2 linked regions of the Lepisosteus oculatus genome follow. The protein of the gene in region 1 purifies or fractionates together with the protein of each later gene. This does not show direct contact. Links are inferred from orthologs where the notes say so. Each region holds a gene or a part of one and is shown on either strand. Other genes may lie near its edges.

What was found.
Region 2: the proteins of sinhcafl (region 1) and arid4b purify together in Homo sapiens (affinity purification with mass spectrometry; 3 studies listed by BioGRID and IntAct, counting the BioPlex papers as one, with this or other methods). This does not show direct contact. The link is inferred for Lepisosteus oculatus from reciprocal best matches to the Homo sapiens genes SINHCAF and ARID4B.

Annotation. Positions count from the first base shown.
Region 1 is NC_090716.1:9,697,483-9,704,739, forward strand, and holds the start of sinhcafl (SIN3-HDAC complex associated factor, like), read left to right. Parts: upstream 1-4,247; 5' UTR 4,248-4,982; coding exon 4,983-4,983; intron 4,984-5,572; coding exon 5,573-5,720; intron 5,721-6,341; coding exon 6,342-6,441; intron 6,442-6,650; coding exon 6,651-6,762; intron 6,763-7,103; coding exon 7,104-7,254; intron 7,255-7,257. UniProt on the Homo sapiens protein: Subunit of the Sin3 deacetylase complex (Sin3/HDAC), this subunit is important for the repression of genes encoding components of the TGF-beta signaling pathway.
Region 2 is NC_090712.1:6,399,475-6,406,649, forward strand, and holds the start of arid4b (AT-rich interactive domain-containing protein 4B), read left to right. Parts: upstream 1-4,156; 5' UTR 4,157-4,622; intron 4,623-5,077; exon of another isoform or gene 5,078-5,580; intron 5,581-5,738; exon of another isoform or gene 5,739-5,813; intron 5,814-7,175. UniProt on the Homo sapiens protein: Acts as a transcriptional repressor. May function in the assembly and/or enzymatic activity of the Sin3A corepressor complex or in mediating interactions between the complex and other regulatory complexes.

The sequences.
Region 1 (7,257 bases):
TTAATATATTTTCAAAAAGGAACAGTATTATTTTGATATGTCTGTTGAGTTGCTTGCTCTGTTATTGAAATTTAGGTTTCACAGAGGCCAAACTTGAGCTCAAAACAAATGTTGTAGAAGTATACTTTATAAGTACTAACCCTTACAACAATGACATGTAAATGACCGAAAGGTTTCTATAGAAAGTTGTTCTCTGCAGAAATGTACTGCTACGTGTCTATAGAAAACTTTGGGTTATTTTTGTAAGGGAACGATGGGAGAGAATACGATTTTTAATATGAAATATGAAAAATGAACTGAAATTAGTTTTTATATCTTCTATAATAGATGTACACATTTAATTTTTTTCCCCAAAATGTAGTGTCAGCGTTCATTATATACTGCTTCTGCACGTTTTGATTTCTCAGATCATACATTCAGTTGTGCTGGAGAAGAGTTCACCCTGTCTATTTTTCTAAATTATAAATCAGGCTTTGGAGCTTCTGTCTAGTGCATGTTGTCCTTTTTGTATAAGCGACCGTCGAGTATAATCTCGGCAATAATCGGCAAGTTTGAAAAACCATTAACCTCCATTCTACTTTAAAAGTTGACTTGTTTTTCTGTCTGTGCTTTTACTTGTTCATGCTTTCACATTTATTATTATTATTTTTTAACCTGTTCAGACTTCACTGAGACTGAGTATAAGTAACATTCCTTCTAAGCTCTTTCTCTGAATCTCCTTGTCATTCCAAGAACAGGATTGTGGGAATCATTCTGTTTTCATGGAGGTTTGTGCTGAGCCAGACATCCTCTCCGTTACTGACAGGACACTTTCTCCATCTGCCCACCACCTGGCATGTGAATTACTGAATTGTCCGCAAAAAAATATCCTCTTGCACTTCTCGAGATATATACAGTGTATGTTTTTAGTTACCCATCCGCTGAAAAACAGGCATTATCAAATAAGCCAGTGACCAGGTTTGGGAGTTTCACATTTGGATGTAGGTCGCAGTGGAGGATGTAGGATCTAGGTTTGATTGTGTTTAGTTTGCTGCCATTTTTAACAAGCGTGTGTGGATTTGGAGTAGACTTCAGTACATCCTCCTGTGGCACTTACAAGTTCATAGGTTGTAATCTGATAGGATCTGAAGGTCCACTTCAAGGCTTTCTTCCTGGGTTTAGAACGTGGCGGATGATAGTACAATTTCCAGTTAGCTTTGCTGCCTCACACCTCCAGGGTCTTGGACTGATTCCTGGTTCGAAACAGTCCTCTGTTTTGGGGGTATTTCATTTTTGCCCCCCCCCCGTTCTTGTGGATTTTCGTGGGCTGCTGTGGTTTCCCCCCTCTTCCCAAAGACACGTAGGTTTAAGTTCTGAATTGCCCCCTTTTTGGGAGTTTGTTCCCAGTGCGGCCAGTGCTGATAATGTGATTGAAACAGAACAAAATCAGCTTGACGAGATTAATGGGATGGGGTTGCGTTTTCATTCTGGTGGTTCGGACCCTCAACTCGCAACGTTTTTCCAACTACGTCCGAGAATGAAGCTACTTCTCACCTCTGGTACCGGATCCTCTTTGATTAACAAACTGTGACGAGGGTCTTTCTGAGGAAGTATTTTCCCAGCTCAGTAAATTTGGAGGGCATCTGCTTGGCACTTTGGGCTAGAGGATTTTTTTCTTGTATATTATTCTCCCAAATGAAAACATTGACAATTTTTAACGTCATCAAATTCATTGACACTTTCACTTTTTAGTCCACATTCCTGTAGAGTAATCTCAGTTTTTGACATGATCTGGGGTATTCTGCAATTTGCTTGTTTCGCAAGACACTACAAGGACACGGTGAATCTTTTAACACTGGGGAAAAATAAGAAATTGTATTTGTGAATACAGTTCTATCCAAGTATACAGACATGCATTTGTATTCCTGAGCCATGTGAATCCATGGAGAATAGTGGAAGTTTACAGTGTTATATTTCACTTAAAGACAGTGGCTGTATTTCTCAGCTCCAGTAGCCATCTCCCATAGAGTTAAGATTGCTGCTGTTAATATGCTATGCAATATTCACTACACAGAGCAAAAGTAAAAAACAAGAAAAATTAAGGGTTATATGGTTCAGACTTTTGTCCCATTGTACTTGGCAGCAGAGTTTGAAGGCATAATAGCTTCATGGAAACATTAAATTTGACCATTTCATCCCCAAAATGCTTGGCTAGTGCTGATATTTCATCCGCCTTCAGTCTGAAACCATATACAGGCTGAGCTTCTTGGGACAGATACTACTTTTTTAAAAAAGGTTAATAAAGCAGTGTTGTGTAGTGTAAAATAAGAAGTGGTTAACTGTACAGTGTATAAAATGTAATAAAACAAAAGGATAATGTCTCCATGTAAAAGTGTATTGTATATTTTTACATAAACCATGAACTTGCTCTGTAGTATGTAGATTGCAATTAATAATGTATCTGGGAAGTGGTTTTATAGAAGGCATCCTTTTTATCTTTGTAACTGCTCTGGTTGTATCTATTCTGTATAGGAAATGTAGCTCTGAACTAGAGAAATGGCCCTGAGTAGTTACACTTGTATTTTACACATGTCCTGATGAATAAATGGTAAACATTTCCTAACAGTAAGGCTTCTTATTTATTTCCACTTGGTGTTGACCTTTTAAGAGTAGAGCAGTTTCATTAAAACACTTCATTTGGTTCATAAGAACGATATTTGCCACAGAAATTGGCTGTATTTCCAGATATTCTTTCGACACTTAAAGCAATTTTGAAATTATTAAACAAATTAAATGTGTGTTGTCTAAATACTAAATAAAGTAATAGGGTGCATTAACACGTTATGCCTGTTTCAAGGTACAATTGCAATTTAAAACACCTTGAAAACCTTGAATTTACAGAACGCTGTAAATGTTAAAAGACCAGTCCTTCAAATAACAACCGAAACGGTTACTATTACACTGACTTTCTAGGTCCTTTTAAAGCATTTAAGATCTCTAATAACATACAAAATTGTGAATTCTCACAATTAATGCATTGATCTGCGTTCCCGTTTTTGTGATTTTCTACAGCTCGCTCTGTATTTTATATTTCATAAAGACCTGCATGGTCTGTCTAGTTTTGCAGCAATCTGCAAACTAATATGCAGTATAGACCGTATACACAGCAAATTTGATTAGACAATAGCAGGTACAGTTCCACTGAAAATACGGTATTTCTATCACTGCTCAGTGACCCAGTTAATCGAACAAGGGCTTGCTATTTTCATCGAGGGCTCCAAAATAAACGCGACTGCGTAGGTAACGCTAAAAATAAGATTTACAGTACTAAGCCCAGGTGCGTTTTATGCAAGGACTCGGGGTGCTTGGTCGCATTATATGAAGCGCATGTAGCGAGCGGGACCTCGCAGGCGAAACAAAACTCCTGCGAGCCCGCGAACGACAGCAAAAAAACAAAACAAAACAAAACGGGAAAACAGGGTTTGCTTTTAACCGCCCTCGATGGGACTTTGCGGGTGTGTGTGTGTTTTTTAAAAAGTGCGTGACACGTGGGAACGAGGTGAACGGGGCTCCTCGCGCGCAGCAGGAGCTCGCGGGGCGCCGCCGCTTTTGTCCGCCCCGCGCGCGCAGCCCAAGTTGTGAATGAAACTGCCCGGGACGCACGTACACCGCCCGGGCTCGCGCCGGGGTGGGAGGAGCCCCCGCGTGAACAATGTCAACACTGCGGGGCGGCCGAGCGGCGCGAACCGGCACGGCAGCGCAGGGGCAGCATCGGGATCGCAGCCCCGCAGCTGAACCGCGCTGTAGGAGCTGCGCCCGACCCCGGGCGGCTGTCGTGCTACCGAAAACCCATTCGCGCCATTTCAGTGCCCCCAGCCTAACAATAGTTTTTTTGTTTCATTCCTTCAGTCCCCTGCGGCTTGTGGGAAGTGCAGTCTTTTTAGCCAGCCCGAGCCGTAGGAGTGGCTGGAGGGGGGCGTGTAAGCGAACTACATTTCCCAGGATGCAACATGCTTAAATGCCTGTCCGGGGCTCCTCCGATTGGTTACATTTGTGTTCAAACGAGTACGTTGGACTCCTTATATGGTGTTTCTGTGATGCTACGTTTGGGGCCAATGTTTTCATGCTAATGATATTCTAATATCCAGCTGTATGCAGGAGTAGCGTAGTAAGGCATGCGCAGTCGTCCCCCTCAGAAAACAGCGAGGTTTCAAAGTTTTTGTTGGTAAGTCCTGTTCTTTTTGCAATTTCGCGGGCGGTTTTGCTACAGATTTTAAGAAAACGCACACGAAGCATGGCGGCCGGGATTCCCGAGACTCGGAGGTGTCTGTCGGTGACGAAAAGCAGATAGATGCTTGTCTGCAAGGTGGTCATTAGCGCACAACAATGGGAGAACGTGGACGGGGAGCGTGGCGTGGTAGTATCAAAAACTAAAATCAAGGACATCAAACTGTTTCGCGCTTTCCTCCCCCCCCACCTCCTCTCTCTTTAAAATAAAAAGAGCAGACGCCGTGAAAGTTACACATTTGCGACCGCTGGCGTGCAGACGACGGGGGAGTGGAGGGGACTTGTTGTTGTGAAAATGAGGATTTGTCTTTTAAGTGTTGCACGGTTCAGTGCTGGTAACGTTCCTTTTAAAATAAAGCGCCTCCCCACTATCTGTGAGAGGGATCCAAGCTCGACTCTGCCGAGCTGGATGCCTGGCATCGCAGTGGAAATCGCAATATTGTTACGGGAAAGTACGCTGGCATTTCGGGGGACTTTCTTTTTTACCAAAGTGTTTTAAACAGACGAGGATCTTTGATTCTCGCGTGGTGACGTCAGGGCGAGAGGTTTGATGGATACAGTTACCCTGAACCGTCTCGGCTATCGATGGTAGCGTGCGCGGCACCTTTGAGGCTGAAACGTGTAGGTTTTGCCGTTTGTGCATTCATCCATTGAGCTCCGGGGAGATGAAAGAATATGCCAGCCGAACGCCGCGACGCATTGTCTTTGTTTTCTAAAGTAAGTTTCGGTTTCGACGCAATTTAAAAACGTGCCGTTTGGAAAGCACGATGCGACGAGAAGGAATTGGGGAGACAAAAAAAACAATTCCTCGCCTTCCCAGGTGAAGGGATTGTTGGATTTTTTTTAAAAAAAGTTTTGTTTTTGTTCCACGAATGTTGTTTTTGCACGCAGTATGATCGAATCGCGTTGCTTGCTTGCGAGAGAAAATGGGTTATGTTGTGTCTGGCGCTACAGCTCAGTAGTACCAACGTAGCACGGCATTTAGGTCAAATAAGTGGCTAGTTACGGTTAAATATGCACTCTTAAAAGACCGCGATGGTACATCGTGGTCTTTCAAAGTTTGTCTTCGCGTATTTTGCTGTCTACTCAGAATTTAACATTAAAAAGAAAACATTTCTTTGCCCGCAATGCACGTTGCGGTGTCCGCCCCCTTTATAGTAATAACCGCGGAAACAAACATGGAGCAGGGGCATGTCTGAGGCACTACCATATTCACGTGTGTTGTGTCGATCCGTTTTATTCTTCTGCTATCAAAAGGTCAAATTGATTTCGCTTGTGTTTGACACCCATGATTTCGCCTTCTCAGTGTTGCACGAACCTTTGGAGATGTTTGGTTTTCATAAATCGAAGATCTATCGCAGCCACGAAGGCTGTTGCATTTGTAAGACGAAGTCGTCCAGCTCTCGCTTCACAGACAGCGGTCGGTACGAAGAAAACTTCAGACTCTGCTTTGGGTAAGTTTTATTTGTATTCTGCGTTAAAATGCACTTGATCGCAGCTGCATGTTTCAGCCACAAAATAAGAGCTAGACACTCCTATGTCGTTTTCATTTATTGTTACCACTCGTTTATCTTTCAAACAAGAAGAGCGACTTAGTAGCTGTTCCGCTGACCTTACTGAGAAGTTCCCAGTCTCCAGCCGCTCTTTGGTTAGCTGGGGGAAGAGCTGGTAACCAGTTTTGGCGACATGTCCCCTCTGCGTGACACTACCGCACCACGAATCACATCTCTAATCAATCTGCCTCTCACGTCAGTGAGCACGATTTTAAACGTGTAGAAATACGGGACTCCGGGGGGGGATAAAACAATCTGGACCACAAAGGTGATTTATCACATCATTCAAGATCCCTAAACGTAGTTTTGCCGTTCATCAGCGGTCTCCGATTAAATAACCGGTACCAGTACCACTTGGTACTCTTTGCTTGGCAGCGCAGTTAAGAGTGCAGTGTGGTATTCAGCAAAGCAATTAGATTTGATAGAAGATTCATCAAATGTTTCGGAAGTCTTTCCAGATCTCCACCACTTTTCTAAACGTATCGCTAGCAAACGGGGCGGAAACATTTTTTGTTGTTCTAGGCTGATGGAAGATCGGACGGGAGATATATGTAATGCTTGCGTCCTGTTAGTGAAGCGCTGGAAGAAACTTCCCCTGGGCTCCAAAAAGAACTGGAATCACGTAAGTATCCACTGTGCAGAAAACACTTCTTTTTTTTTTTTTGCAAGGTCGTGGTGAAAAGTTTTGGGCTGATTTTTTTTTACTTATAAAGAAGTGAAGCTTCCTTGTATTTCTAGTACATGCCGGCAAAAAAAAATAAAAATAATCGGGGGTGGCTTTGAGTTTTCCTGTGCCTGTCTGGCACTGATTTGTGAAGCGTCTCTCCTCAGGTGGTCGATGCGAGAGCAGGGCCTGGCTTCAAGATGACCAAACCCAAGAAGATGAAAAGCGGCGACGGCAGCAAAAAGAAACTCAAGAAGCTTCACAAGTTCAAGAGGCAAAGTGAGTAGCAGGCTGGATGTTGGATCTGTTTGTGTCTGTGTTTGTAGTGGCCTGGATGGGCCGTGCGTGCCCTACAGGCTGCTGCTGCTGCGGCCCAGCTGCAGAAGATGACAAGGCAGGTGTGTTTGTAGTGTTAAATCGCCTTAAGTCCCAGCAGGTGAGGCTACGGTTTCAAGAAGGTGTCTCGCAAAGAGACCTGATCCGTGGAGTTCCAACTTCCCCCTGCATGCCTCACCTGCCTGGATCTCGGCATCGCCCTCCACCCGCGCGGGAGCCAGACTCCTGCCGCCGCTGGGAGTTCCCGGGAAGTTTTTCGACCAAGCCTTGTCCTTCCTTTCCAGATTCGGATGCTCACAGCACCACGTCCAGTGCCTCGCCCTCCCAGTCGCCCAGTTACAGCAACCAGTCCGACGAGGGCTCCGACATCGAGTCCAAACAGAGGCACTCCTCCCCATCCGTGTTCTCGTTCATCGACCTCTCTTACTGGAAAAGGTG
Region 2 (7,175 bases), on another chromosome or scaffold:
TAACTTCCCTAAAAAAATACAATAGATGATGAAGCCTTTTAATGACTGCAATCCAAAAGCATAGGAGGCAGATAAAACTGAACTAATGTTTCACATTTAGAAGCTTTTACTGTTACCACTTATCCGTTATCAAACCTGAACTCTCAGAGGGAGGCCTGCAGCAACTGCAAGTTTGATTTGTAGTCATAAAACTGAACAGCACGCAGTTAACGGTGTTAATGGTAGGTATTAACACTAAGCAATTAGTAGCGTTTTTTTAATAGCATGTGTATTTCATATTAAAAAAGCAGTTTTTTTTTTAACAGATTCATCCCTTTTCCAATGGCTTCATCTAATTCAGAGCCACTGGGGAGCCCGAGACTATCCCGTCAAGCAACAGGCGAAAGACGGGATACACCCTGGGTGGGACGTCAGTCCATTGCAGGGCAGACGCAGAAACACACATGCTCACCATGGGCAATTCTGCCAGAAGCCAATTAACCTGCAAGTTAAGTTAATCTGGACTTTTTGGACTGTGGGAGGTATCCAGAGGACCTACACGAACATAGGGAGAACATACAAACTCCACACAGACAGCACCACAGAATTGAACCCAGGGCCCCAGCACTGCAGGGCAACAATGCCAACCACTGCTCCACCGTGTTTAAATACGGTATCACTCTCCCCCAAATCAAAAGAATGTTAATTAAGACACCAAGAAGCCAGACAATGGCACAGACTCCTACCTGACCTTTTTAAACACCAATACTGTAGCCTTGCTTTCGAAACGCAAAAGAAATAAAATGTATGACAAACAGGAAGGCAAAGTCGAATCAGTGCAACAACAGACTCAGATCAGGAAATGAAAGGCAGCACTAGTCTTGTTACCTGTATCAGTGATAGCTGCTTCAGTTACTGCTGCCACTGTGCACAACAGCTTAGCTAACACATGCGGTGTTATTGTAGCACGCGAGGTCAGCACATGATTCGTGTCGCGGCTGCACAGAACAACAACGCACTTGTGCCCATTTTCTCTATTTCTGCCTCTCGGGGGGAATCGTGATCTGTAACATGACAGCTTAGATCAAACCATTCCACTTCCAGCACAGCGCGTCTGCTCGTTTCAAAACTGAGCGATCTGGCAGGGAAAAAAATATTTAAAAAAAACGCTCTTTGTTCAGCGATCACCTGTAACGAAGCTGCAACAAAACCCACTTCTGCAAATTAGCATTTCAAAAATGCCTGCGTGCACTCTGCACATCGGCAACCGTTTAATTAGCAGTTCTGCTGGAGCAGTTTCAGCTACAGAATCAAAGTCGCAAAATCGTCTAATTTCATTCAGAGTACGAACACTACTTTTGTAACATGAGAAAAACAAATATTGGGAGTTCAGTCTGTATGACCGCTCCCAGGTGCGCAAAAGACTGCATTATCCAGTATTCACACATTTAAAACCCTTTGTGAATCTCCTACAGCTCTAAGGAAATCAGGTGCCCTCACTCAGCATGCTGGTTTCTTTCACAAAGAGCATTCACTAGATGGATAACTCTGCAAAAGAAACGAACACTTGCATCACTTGGGAAAACGGTTTCTCTAGCCTGTATGACGTTTTCCCACCCCCGCCCGACTTTGAAACCCAAAAAGGGTCACTCGCAAAGACGCCGATTTATACGGGCAGCAGCAGCAGCCGGCACTGCGCCGACCACACGGAGCAAAGAGACTGCTCAAACTCAGACCCACGAAGCTCCACGGCCAGGAGCTCACCAGCGGAGTGCCAGCGCGAGGGAGCTCAACACGGTGGCGCGCCATTCTTCCACGGCAACCCCCCGAGAGCTGGATAGCACGGATGTAGGTCAGAGCGATGGTTCTAGAATTCTGCAGGTAACTGCAGAAAACAGTCAAGGGATGCAACACGAGACTGAGATGGAGGAGAGAAACAAGTTAATGAGACACACGAGTACCTGAATCTTTGCCCACCCCTACAGAAGTGGGAAAGGACATTTGAAGTCACATCCTTAAGTAAGTGACTCAGAGGCTCATTATACTTACACACGACCCAGCCCGCTGACCCAGTTTCCCCCCACACAGTTTCGTATAACTGGGAATTTTAACCAATTAGACCTTTTGCAATTTCTTTTTCAGGGTATTCAACATTCGAAGCCCCGCTGTGCCTTGCTTCCACAGTAAACGCAGTAGGGCAAAGATTTTTCAGAAACGTAAACAGCAAGTCTAACAACCGGATTCTCTGGCAAGTTTCCTTCTTCTACCAAATTTAAAGGTTCTAGAAGCTTGTATGTTATGTAATTACAAATCCTCCAAGCGCCTCAAACATGGTGGAACAAACTTTCCATTGATGTAGTATTTCATTACAGAATGAGGGACGAATTAAGTTAAGTAAAAGGTGTGCTAGGCGTTAAGATTTGCCCAGACTTACAAAGCATTTAGATAAGACAGGAAAACATTAAACACCGAATTGACAAAGCCGCAACCAGCTTGTCTACCCAACAGCACTTCGATGAAAAAAATTGTAATCCTATAATATTACCTGCATGTGCATCATTTACACAAAACATAAATACAGTTGTACACAGCAAAATGCAGAGACCAAAAATAGCCCAAGGCAGTGGTCCAGTCATGAGTGCCAGTGAGTCTGCAGGTTTTCATGCCACTTAGTTCTTATTGGCCTCTGTCAATTGCTGATGTCTTAAACTAGTCCAATTATCACCTCTCCCAGCTCCTCGACTATTACTTCTTTAGGAGAAAACCTACAGAGACACTGCAGGACCAGAGCAGAATACCGTTGGCCTACACATCTATCTGAAGTTCCAGTTAAAATGTTAATGTAACATTAAATAATTAAGGTTTGATGATCTCTTTTCAAGGCTGTGTAAGCCAGATTGGATACTGCTAAATTTATACCACAAGAGTTCTTTGGAAAAAATAGGAGTATGTAATATCAAAGGAGACAACTTACCTAAACCTTTTCAGTATTGGTTAAACTACTTTATACAGTATACTGTACGACACTGCTCAAACCAACGTAATGAAAGTCTTTTTTATTAAGCGCAGGTAATAAAAGTATGTTCCATGTTTTGCGTTTGCAGTTTTTCTAAAAGCAAGTACACAATACCTCACCCGGGAGATTAATACGGCTGTACACAACTCTAGAATGGGAAGAGTTTATACCCGCATTCCTCGTAAATCGCCTACTGTCATACACCAGAATTACTGTATCCGTCCGCTTAAAAAACCTGGTTATTAAAATAGCCAGACCCAGCTACAACTCAGCAGCATTTCTTGAAATACACAAGAGGGTGATCATTCAGTAACAGGATTTATCCTCACTAAAAAAGACCTACAGATCCTTCACAATTCCATTTTTAGATCTGGGGGGGAGACAGCTTCTAGGGAATTATTCCCCCTGTGCCATAAAAACGCGAAGAGACGTCAGCTTTACTTTTCGTGACTAACACACACGCAAGGTGTCATCATGTGACTCGCTTTGACAGATGACACGAGTGCAACTACATCAGTACTGCAGAGTAATTCCCTTACATCACTGCCTAGATGTAAGGAGAGAGGATTATCCTCTACAGAGCATGCATGCAACTGCTGTAAAAGTGAAAAACAGACCGTGCCTGAAAGGCTGGATTTATGTGCAATAACGTAGCCCCAGAGGCTTTATGATGAATCAAGTAGAAAAAAAAAGAGCACCTTAACGTTAGTTTTTTTTCCCCCAAGGCGCAGGCGGCCTCACCAACTCTCACAACAGGCAGTATTTTTTTTTTGCTGTTGATGTCAAGAGCACATCGACGAAGCTCCACCTACCTGGTTGGTCAGCAATTTGCAATCCGGGTCACTTTTTTTTTCCTCCCCCACGTCCGCTCGCAACCTTCCCTTTTATTAATTTATCACGGCATCCAAATATTTCTTACGCGTCGAAAACCCCACTTAAGAGGGGGAAGATCGTTGAGCCCCTCCTTTGTTACCGCACTTGACTTACAAAACGACCTAAAACACCTTACCCTGCCTCGTAATTTAAGAGCCAAGCCTACTCCTTGCTCATCCGCATTCACAGCAAGCTATATACGCCATCGCTTCTCCACCGAGCAAGCGCATAATGGCCGGGGAGGGGGGGGGGGGACGGATATTTTCTGCACGTTGCAAAGCTTTCTGGGAGTTGTTGTTCGGAGCGCCCGATGATCGTCATCTGAAACACTAGTGTTGTGTACTGCAGATTACTCTTTTGAGAACTACATATCCCAAGCGCTCCCAACTCTTTGTTACCATAGTACCGTTAGAAAATAACGTCATTTTCTTGGCAAGACCGACCAATGGTAGTCGGTAGGGGGCGGACACTAGCAGCAGATAGCCAATCATAAAGCTTGACAGTCATCGAGGGCGTTTCTTAGGGGAGTCCGTCAGTCTGTTTCAGAAGGAGAGGAGCACACAGAAAGAGTCCTACAGAAGGAGCGATTGTGTCGGATACGCATCCCGGGGCTGGTGGGGGGGAAGAAAAAAAAAAAGACTACAAAAATAACCGTCAAGTCCGTTTGCTCTTGCTTTTCGATGAGCTCATGGAGGATTAAATTACTGCACCAGCAAGAAGAGAGGATAAAAAAATCGAAAACTGGACTTCCTCGGTAAGGAATAAACAGATCGCGTGAAGTTTGTTTGCTGCCCATTCTTTTTTTTCCCCTAAAAAAAGATGCAGATCATTTGGGCACTTGCTGATTTTCTTTCCTAACGCCGGGGGGACAGACTAGGGAAATCTTAGACTAGGAAAACTGGAGGTGAGGTGGGGGGTGGAGTGGAAAAGACCAGCGTTGTCCGTAGTGAGCGCTGTCGACCCTGCTGCTTAGCCAGTCCAGAAACAAATCTATCAATTATTTGCATTCGCTCGTCTTATTCTTTCGCCTGTCAGCTTTAGCTGGCTTGAAGGTGTGTGAGTTACACTCGGCTATGGAGGAATGTATCTCCACCACCACCCCCCACCAAAAAAAAACCCCGATCATGCAGAAAGGAGTTTCTTGACGCGAGGCATCGGATCTGATTTTTTTTTGGTGGGGAAGAGGGGGAAAAAAAAGCCGTGTCTTACATAAGTGAGCTCCTCGGATTCTGCAGACAGCGATGAAATTGCCCCGAAACCGACTTCCTTTCCTCCAGAGACGACTTGCTGTCGCCCAGCGATCGAGTCTCCTCTGACTCTGGATGTCTCCATTAGTTGGCTTTTACGGTCGCGTAGGTCGCCTGCCTGTATTCCCGATCTTTTTTCTCTGTGGTTTTTTTTTCCTTGCTCCTGCTGCTGTTGTTGCTGTTGCTGCTGCTGCTCCAGTCTTCCACCCCATCGGTCACGTTTAATTAATATTTTTTTTCCCCTCCCTGCTCCCCTCTTTTATACTACAACCCGCAGCCGTGCTCGCCAGAACAGAAACAAAATCTTATTAAAGCCCGGACTGACGTGGGAGGGGGGGGGGAGGCGAAAGAGAGAAAAATAAACGACCAGGAGTAGAACATATTTTTAAATCGTTGCAATAAAGCAACTAGCGGAGCGGTTGGGAGGTTTGCGGAGGGGGGGTGAGAAATGAGACTAGGCTCAGCGTTGTTTTCGACAGCTGATTTTCAAGCACAGTCCAGCCGTGAGCACTCTCCCCCAGAAACACACACACACACTCTCTCGCCAGCAGTAACGACTGGATTACATTAAGCGGGGTGACATTGTAGTGCCTGGTTTGTCGGATTTAATGGTTGCTGCTCGTCCGCAGTCGGTCCCCGGCTGCTCCTCCGTCTCTCGAAGTCGGTGAAGACGACGGCGGCGGCGGCGGTGAGGGGAGGTCGGTTTAGGTTTTTGAGCCCGTGTCACTTTGTTTAGTTTAGCCTTGTTCATGGTGGGTTTTGTTGTTGTTGTTGTTGTTGTTTCTTTAAAAAACAAAATCCTCGTTTGCCGTTTCACGCCGTGGGAGAGGCGTCGGGGTTGTAGTTTGGGGAGTCAGCGAAAATGTGCAACCGAAACAGCCTCGGACAGAGGAGCCCTCTCTCTCTCCCTCCCTCGTCTGCGTTTGAACGCGGAAATCGCTCGATGGGTTTTTGTCCGCCGCTCTGTGTGTGTACTTCGGTGCGTTTTGGCAGCCTCTTGGGTTGGCAAATCAAAGTTAACGATTTCAGATTTCACGGAGACCCTACAAAAGAAACCAGCCCGTCTGTCCCCTCCCTCCCCCTCCTCCTCTTCCTCCTCCTCCTCCTCCTCCGGTCCCTTTCCTAACCTCACCAGCCCTCCGATCTGATGATGTGTATCACGCTGTGCTGCTCGGAGAGAGTGCCAACAGGGGATTCCTGAAAAAAAAAATCGACTTAAAAAATCCCCCCACACACACGCTTGCTGGCTTTTATCGAGCTGCTACAGCTGTAGTGTTATTTTTTTGTTGTTGTTGTTATTATTATCGTCACCATCATCATCCGCAGGTTGCGCGAGTGAGGTTGTTATTCCGTTGAGAAACTGTCAGTTGGTTGAGACAAAAAGACAGTACACCTCGACTGACGGGGGAGAAATAAGAGAAGGGCGATATGGATTAATTTTATTTCTCGCTGTCTTTCACTTGGCGTTGTTATGACGGATTTTTTTGTGTGTGCGTCTTTCTCTACCGTACTAGTGTCGTGTTGTTGGCGAAATGTGTTTCTGCTGTGATACAGAAATGGCGTCATCCACTTAGCTGCCTGCACTGATACACACACACACAGCAGACATTACTCCCCGTCCTCAACCCGTGTCAAAATAGTTCTTCTTTTTCATTTTATCCCTCCTTTTCTCTCTCTCCTTGCCCTCCTCGATCGCGTCTGTAACCGAGCCGTTTGGAAATGACGCCGAAAACCGAAAGTTAAAAAAAAAAAGCTGCCGTATTCTTTTTGTTTGTCTTGCTCATTCATTTTTATTTCAGGGACAGTGGGAGCCCCGTCTGGTTTCGAAATCGGTTTAAATTGTTTCGCGGACAGGAGTGAAAAATAAAAAAATAATGATCGCGTTGAAATTGAGCGTCAAACGTCACGACCTATTTTTCTGTACAAATGTCCCCCGTTCTCTGTACTTTTAGGAGATTTAATAGTGCTAGTTTAAATGAACATTTCTTATTTTGGCACACGTGAACTTCCGTTCTCGTACAGCTGCTGTGTTTGGTAGGATAGCGTCGTGGAGAGAAACG